Arabidopsis thaliana: one gene and its partner. The protein of the gene in region 1 interacts with the protein of each later gene in a pairwise test. Each region holds a gene or a part of one and is shown in the gene's direction. Other genes may lie near its edges.

What was found. The genes of interacting proteins can lie anywhere in the genome.
Region 2: the proteins of AT3G55080 (region 1) and SEP2 interact in a two-hybrid assay, tested with the Arabidopsis thaliana proteins (one large-scale study listed by BioGRID).

The regions. Positions count from the first base shown.
Region 1 is NC_003074.8:20,414,349-20,418,103, reverse strand, and holds the start of AT3G55080 (SET domain-containing protein), read left to right. Parts: upstream 1-2,060; 5' UTR 2,061-2,273; coding exon 2,274-2,390; intron 2,391-2,588; exon of another isoform or gene 2,589-2,718; coding exon 2,719-2,813; intron 2,814-3,271; coding exon 3,272-3,335; intron 3,336-3,439; coding exon 3,440-3,550; intron 3,551-3,652; coding exon 3,653-3,712; intron 3,713-3,755. Other genes in the region: ABCG16 (ABC-2 type transporter family protein), read left to right, coding at 1-1,762.
Region 2 is NC_003074.8:465,413-469,167, reverse strand, and holds the start of SEP2 (K-box region and MADS-box transcription factor family protein), read left to right. Parts: upstream 1-2,016; 5' UTR 2,017-2,480; coding exon 2,481-2,665; intron 2,666-3,264; coding exon 3,265-3,346; intron 3,347-3,487; coding exon 3,488-3,549; intron 3,550-3,653; coding exon 3,654-3,753; intron 3,754-3,755. UniProt on the Arabidopsis thaliana protein: Probable transcription factor. Functions with SEPALLATA1/AGL2 and SEPALLATA3/AGL9 to ensure proper development of petals, stamens and carpels and to prevent the indeterminate growth of the flower meristem.

The DNA.
Region 1 (3,755 bases):
GGTAACGCTTAACGGAGAAGCTCTTCAATCTCGGATGCTGAAAGTTATCTCAGCTTATGTAATGCAAGACGATCTTCTCTTCCCGATGCTTACTGTGGAAGAAACCTTAATGTTTGCAGCTGAGTTTCGATTACCAAGAAGCTTACCTAAATCCAAGAAGAAGCTTCGAGTTCAAGCCCTAATCGACCAGTTAGGGATAAGAAACGCTGCTAAAACAATCATTGGAGACGAAGGACACCGTGGAATCTCCGGTGGAGAAAGAAGGCGAGTTTCGATCGGAATCGATATCATCCACGACCCGATTGTTCTCTTCCTCGACGAACCTACTTCTGGTTTAGATTCCACAAGTGCTTTCATGGTGGTTAAAGTATTGAAGAGAATCGCAGAGAGTGGCAGTATCATTATAATGTCAATACATCAGCCAAGTCACAGAGTTCTCAGTTTACTTGATCGTCTTATCTTCTTGTCACGTGGACACACCGTCTTTAGTGGTTCTCCGGCGAGTCTACCGAGCTTTTTCGCCGGGTTCGGTAATCCGATACCGGAAAACGAGAATCAAACGGAGTTTGCACTCGATCTAATCAGAGAACTCGAAGGATCAGCTGGAGGAACAAGAGGATTAGTTGAATTCAACAAGAAATGGCAAGAGATGAAGAAACAGAGCAATCCTCAAACCCTAACTCCGCCGGCTTCTCCAAACCCAAATTTAACCTTGAAAGAAGCGATTTCCGCCAGCATAAGCAGAGGAAAACTAGTCTCCGGTGGCGGCGGTGGTTCCTCCGTCATAAACCACGGTGGCGGAACCTTAGCCGTCCCTGCATTCGCGAATCCGTTCTGGATCGAAATCAAAACTCTCACCAGACGCTCAATCCTCAACTCCCGACGACAACCGGAGCTACTCGGAATGCGATTAGCCACCGTAATCGTCACCGGATTCATCTTAGCCACCGTATTCTGGCGATTGGATAATTCACCAAAAGGAGTTCAAGAGCGGTTAGGGTTCTTCGCATTCGCAATGTCAACAATGTTCTACACTTGCGCCGATGCTCTTCCCGTGTTCCTCCAGGAACGTTACATCTTCATGAGAGAAACAGCTTACAACGCTTACCGGAGATCCTCCTACGTTCTCTCTCACGCCATTGTTACCTTCCCTTCGCTCATCTTCCTCTCTTTAGCTTTCGCAGTGACGACGTTTTGGGCTGTTGGGCTTGAAGGAGGCCTAATGGGCTTTTTATTCTACTGCTTAATCATCTTAGCCTCTTTCTGGTCCGGAAGCTCCTTCGTGACTTTCTTATCCGGCGTCGTTCCACATGTGATGTTAGGCTACACGATCGTTGTTGCTATTTTAGCTTACTTCTTGCTTTTCAGTGGCTTCTTCATCAACAGAGATCGAATCCCTCAGTATTGGATTTGGTTTCATTATCTTTCTCTGGTTAAGTATCCATACGAGGCGGTTCTTCAGAACGAGTTCTCGGATCCTACAGAATGTTTTGTGAGAGGTGTTCAGCTTTTCGACAACTCGCCTTTGGGAGAATTGACGTATGGGATGAAGCTGAGGCTTTTGGATTCTGTGAGCCGGTCGATAGGTATGAGGATATCGAGCTCTACGTGTTTAACGACGGGTGCTGATGTTCTGAAGCAGCAAGGAGTGACACAGCTTAGTAAATGGAACTGCTTGCTTATCACGGTAGGTTTCGGATTCCTATTTAGGATTTTGTTTTACTTGTGTTTGTTGCTTGGGAGCAAAAACAAGAGGAGGTGAAACTGAAACTACTGATGATACCTAAAACCAAAAACATATATTGTAATTCTTTTTCATTACTTGTAATTCGTAGATTGATTGTGTATTTGAATTGTATTCTTTTTAACATTTGTATTACTTTTGCCATCAATAAAAAAAATATCATTCTTTAGGAAATTGGAAATACAAAAAGCACCTATGAATCGCTTTTACTCAGAAAATTAATGCAACATTTCAAATAGAGGCATTGAGATTGTGGAAGAAAAATGAGGAGACACAGACACTGTTGCTAGAGGCAAGTAACTCTCAAAGCCATTTCACTTTGTAAGGTATCAAAAAGTCAAAATTGGAAGGCTATCTACAAAATCAATTAAAAACAAACCGATTTATCTGAAATTTAAAACCGAAACAAACCGGACCGAATCAGCATCAGAATATCGTCTGGTCCTGGCCGCTCTGCTCTAGCCGCAGTCGAAACACGAGTCCATAATACGAGCGGTGGTTGCTCACGCGCCATCCAGTTTGGCTGGAGATGCTATTCTGCATTTCGACAGTGAAGCTTTTCGGGTTTCAACAAAGGCGCAATGTTAGCTCTTTAGCCAAGCGTTTCAGTCTCGCCGGGAAACTAACGTTAGAGCTCCAAACTCAGGTTTGATTTGTGAAAGATTGAGACTTTCGTGAAATTTGTGAAATCAATGTGATGGACTGTTCACAGCTTGATTATCTCAAGTGTTAGAAAAGTTTTATCATACCTGAGTGTGGTTCCAAGAATTTTTCTAAGTTATGTATGTTTCTCCTCTACTGATAGCAATTGATACCAAAGATGAAACCTTTATGTTCTTTTAGCTTCTTCTATCTATAGTTAACCAAACAGACTGTTGATTTTGGGAGCTAATTGATGTAAGAAGATGTTGTACAGAACTTTTATGTCTCTCACAAAAGAGGATTTACGATCATCTTATCCATTTTATATCTAGGCTTCGTTGGACAATAACTTCTTACCCTGGTTAGAGCGAATTGCTGGAGCAAAGATAACTAATACTCTTTCGATTGGGAAATCCACCTATGGCAGGTGGGCTTGATGATGTTTTGAATAAGATGCAACTTTGCAAGTATTTTTCAAAATCCGTTTTTCGAGTACCTCGGTTTTCTGTTTACCGGCAATTAAAATATGGATTGTTAGACACATTTTCTCTATTCAATAATTCTATTCATAGTTCCCTTTCAATGTAATGATCAGATTCTTTGTTGATACCTTCTGTGGCAGCTTAATTTTTATATGACTTGTCTTGATGTTCTTTAATATGGTTCTGTCTTGTCATCAATAGTTGAAACATTGTACAACTTTGAATCATGTTATTTTGTCTTGTTTAGTAATCTGATTGTTTTCCATCTTTATGCGATTGTTTAATGAGTGATTGTGAGAATAACCAATTTCATTTCCTACCAGAGGCTGTCTCCTGGTGTGATGCTTTATCTTTAATGTCAAATACACTAACCATGTTAATAACTATATCAACTTCTGAGCAGGTCACTGTTCGCCTCCAAAGTTATCTATGCTGGTGACTGCATGTTGAAAGTCCCTTTTAATGCGGTATATTGTTGTCTACTGAAACGAGCTTTTCTGTTATCATGTGTCTTAAGAAGTATTGGAAATTCTTTTTATGCCATTAGTGTTGTTCTAACTTAAAATTTCAGCAAATAACTCCAGATGAGCTCCCCTCGGATATTAGAGTTTTATTGAGCAATGAAGTTGGGAATATCGGAATGCTTGCTGCTGTTCTAATAAGAGAGAAGAAAATGGGTCAAGTAAGCTAGGGCATCAACATTTGAGTAATTGACTTAAAATAAGTCTCCCATTTCATGTGAGTGTTTTGGTTTTGACTTAGTCTCTGATTGCTTTTGAATCAGAAGTCTCGATGGGTCCCTTATATCAGCCGACTTCCTCAACCTGCAGAGATGCATAGCTCGGTGAGATTTCACTCTAGTTATTATGTCATATGTTCGAGTCTTG
Region 2 (3,755 bases), about 20 Mb from region 1:
GTAATAAGACGGTAAAATATCAAACAAATTGAAAGGGTAAAAAAAAAACAAGAGGGACAAGTCACTGTTAGAAAGGTGACTCCTCCCTTTGGGCCAGCCCCCTACCACAAAAGTCAAAGCTTACTTACTATTCAGTCATATATCGACACGTGTACTTCGAACCACATCACCCATCCTATTACGTAATTTCCACTGTCTAGACTTTTTTTTTTTTTTTTTTTTTTACTTTTTAACGTTTTTTAGCTGTCTCTCTAAATTACTACATACGGACTTGCTACGTCACCTGAGAAGAAAGATCTTTGCTCGTAGATTCTTTGTCTGAAGGAAAATTATTTGTATTTAGTTATTTACAATTGCATAATTGTGTGTAGTAAATCCGCCAGAATGATATTAGAGTGATACTGAGACGACGAATGGTGTAACTTGTAACATATATACTAATAAACACGATTGATTAAAAATTTACTATACAGTATATCCAAAACATTATGATTGAGAGTGTACATATACAATAAGTAATTAAACCTCAAAACCAAACAGTTTTTTTTTTTTTTGGTCAACAATAATTAGAAATGAGAATAAACTATTTAACTTATAAATTCTAGACCCAAAAACTCATATTTTACCCTTCTTGGTCTCACCTAAAAAGACTTTAATTCCCAAAACTCTTGCAAACAATGGCCAAACATAGAAGATTGGAAAACAAATTTAAATCTACTTTCACTTTTATAAAGAATAATCAACGAACCAATTAAGTTAAACCTACATATATTCGTATGTGATCACATATGTGTTATATTCCTCACGTTCTCTTCCATTTAGCTAATAACCTTAATTACTTCAAGAAATCATATATCAACCGAAAACTAGTAAAATAAATATACATACTGAAAGCGCGCAAAATTTTTAGCAATATTTTAAAATACCCTACATCATAGTCTTAACTAATTAATCTTTCTGATCAAAATTTATTTTCATAATATTCATAAATACTTATGGATTACCTAAACCAGGATACTTATCCCTATAAATCTGTCAATCATCATGGATTCATGGAGACATGGTCAGATATCCCACGTCCAGATACAATGTAACATATTGATATACTGCGGCTGATTATTATTTTTTACATTAGAACGAGTTTAGATCCAAAACAAAATTGGTATTCTCAAACAAAAATTAAAAATTGAATACGAAAGTAATAGAACAAAACTTCAATGTTGTCGAATAGATAGGAAGCAATAGAAAAGCGACACGTACATGTCCATTTTAAGGTAGGAGAGGCTTTTCTGCGGCTTGTGAAGTAAGAAAAAGAAAATGATGATAGCTGCTTTCGTTTCATTCATTGCAGAAGAAACCAATGTTTCCCCAATCTCACGCGCCTCCTCCTATCTACCACCACTTGGACAAATCCCCTTTTCAGTATTAGTTTTTTTTTCCGGACATTGTACATTCAAAAGCATTCCAAGTGTCTAATAAACATAACTAACCACTCCAAGATGCAAAATCTAGCTACGAACAAATTTTAAACTATAGAGATGAACTTTAAATTCGGGCATTAATTAGTGGAACTTGAGCTATTGATGAGTTTTCTGACTTTTTGAAGCTTAATTGAGTTTTATATACACTATATATAGGCTTGTAATAATATGGATCAAACAAGAAATATATAAACTACAAATTGGGAATTAGGTTTTAAAACGTTATCGTTCTATTTTAATTCAGGCACCTTTAGAATATCAAGATCCATGCATGTTTCAATATTTCTGTTGACAAATAAATAAAGATGTCTCAAATATGAAGTTTGGGCAACGTACGTGTAGACCTAAAAGAGTCGAAACATTGGTATCTAAGTCATATATCTAGATGTATATGGACATGGATTATATAACTAGACAACGTTTGTTTTAAAAACTTAATTCATTTTTCTTAATTAGTAGCAACTAGCAACTAACTACTCATGGCAAATAATGGTGTCTGCGTGGCACGCACTTGGGAGAGAAGGTGTGAGAATGTTTTTTACTTTCTGTGTAAAAGATGGAAGAGAGAGAAAGAGTAAAGAAGTAGAGAGAGAGATATTGTATCACCAAACCCTAATGATCTCTCACCCTCACAAATTTTCTTATCTTTATAGCTTTTATAGATTCACAAAAACTTTTCTTCAGATTCACAATCTCATCACAACCCTTCAAAAAGAGAAAAGATCTAAAGAATAAACAAGAGCCCTAATATCAAATCACAACCAAAAAAACCAAAGAAAGCTAATTAAAGTTTTCTCTCTAGCTATTCCTCTTCTTTTCTTGTTCTTGAAAACTAGGGTTTACTTCACCAAAAGATAAGATCTTTCCCCAGAAAAAGCAATACCCAAGTCATGTTTCTGTGTGTCTGTATATAGATAAAACATTACATACCCTAATAAGGTTACACAAATAGCTATAAAAGAGGGAAAATAAGATAGGGATTTTTTGGGGTGAGGAAAGATGGGAAGAGGAAGAGTAGAGCTCAAGAGGATAGAGAACAAAATCAACAGACAAGTGACGTTTGCTAAACGTAGAAATGGTTTGCTGAAAAAAGCTTATGAGCTTTCTGTTCTCTGCGATGCTGAAGTCTCTCTCATCGTCTTCTCCAACCGTGGCAAGCTCTACGAGTTCTGCAGCACCTCCAAGTACTTCTCTTTCTTTATACACTTATTAGATCTGTGTGTAGATCTTTCATTTTTCTAGTCTTGTGATGAGTTTTATCTTTCTTGATTGCTTTTTAACAAAATACTTGATATATTTTCAGTTTCTTAATCTGATCTCTAATTAGGTTTTGATTATAGAAGAATAATTCAGTACTTTCAAGTGATTGAATTTCGAGATCTGATCTTAATTTAATCATCATGTCAAATTCTTAGGGATTTAATTGCAATCTATTTTTAGATTTATCGGAGCTAGGAAAGTATCATAATGATATACTATTATTATCATGTAATTTCATTGTCTCTACACGGATATATATGTGATTAGAACTTGGTAAAGTAAACTAAAGATTCACAGTCTTCAATGAAATTTAAAAGATCCAACGTAGAATAATTAGTGGTTCCATGCATTAACCAGTCTAATTAAAGCTCATGCAGACATTTAAGCACCACATGAATTTAATATCTTTTTAATTAAGGGATCTTCTTTTTATAAATTTTCTTTTGTTAGTTTTTAAAATTTTAGTTTGTTCATTAAATTTATAGATTCTTCTTCTCCTGATTTGTGTTTTTTGATCTTTCAGCATGCTCAAGACACTGGAAAGGTATCAGAAGTGTAGCTATGGCTCCATTGAAGTCAACAACAAACCTGCTAAAGAGCTTGAGGTTTAATCTCCAACATCTCTTCGATCTTAATTATTTATCCTTTTTTAATTTTATCTAAAGAAAATGTTTGATTTTGAGACAAAAGCCCTTCAAAGTTTCTTACATAGATATTCAATTGTCTATTATCTTCGCAATTTTCAGAACAGCTACAGAGAGTACTTGAAGCTGAAAGGTAGATATGAAAATCTGCAACGTCAGCAGAGGTATATACATTAATGTGGATGATGATCATTTATAAACAGCATATATATATATATATATATATATATATATAGTTTGTATTGATCATGAAAGTGTGTTGCTGCAGAAATCTTCTTGGAGAGGATCTTGGACCTCTGAATTCAAAGGAGCTAGAGCAGCTTGAGCGTCAACTAGACGGCTCTCTGAAGCAAGTTCGCTGCATCAAGGT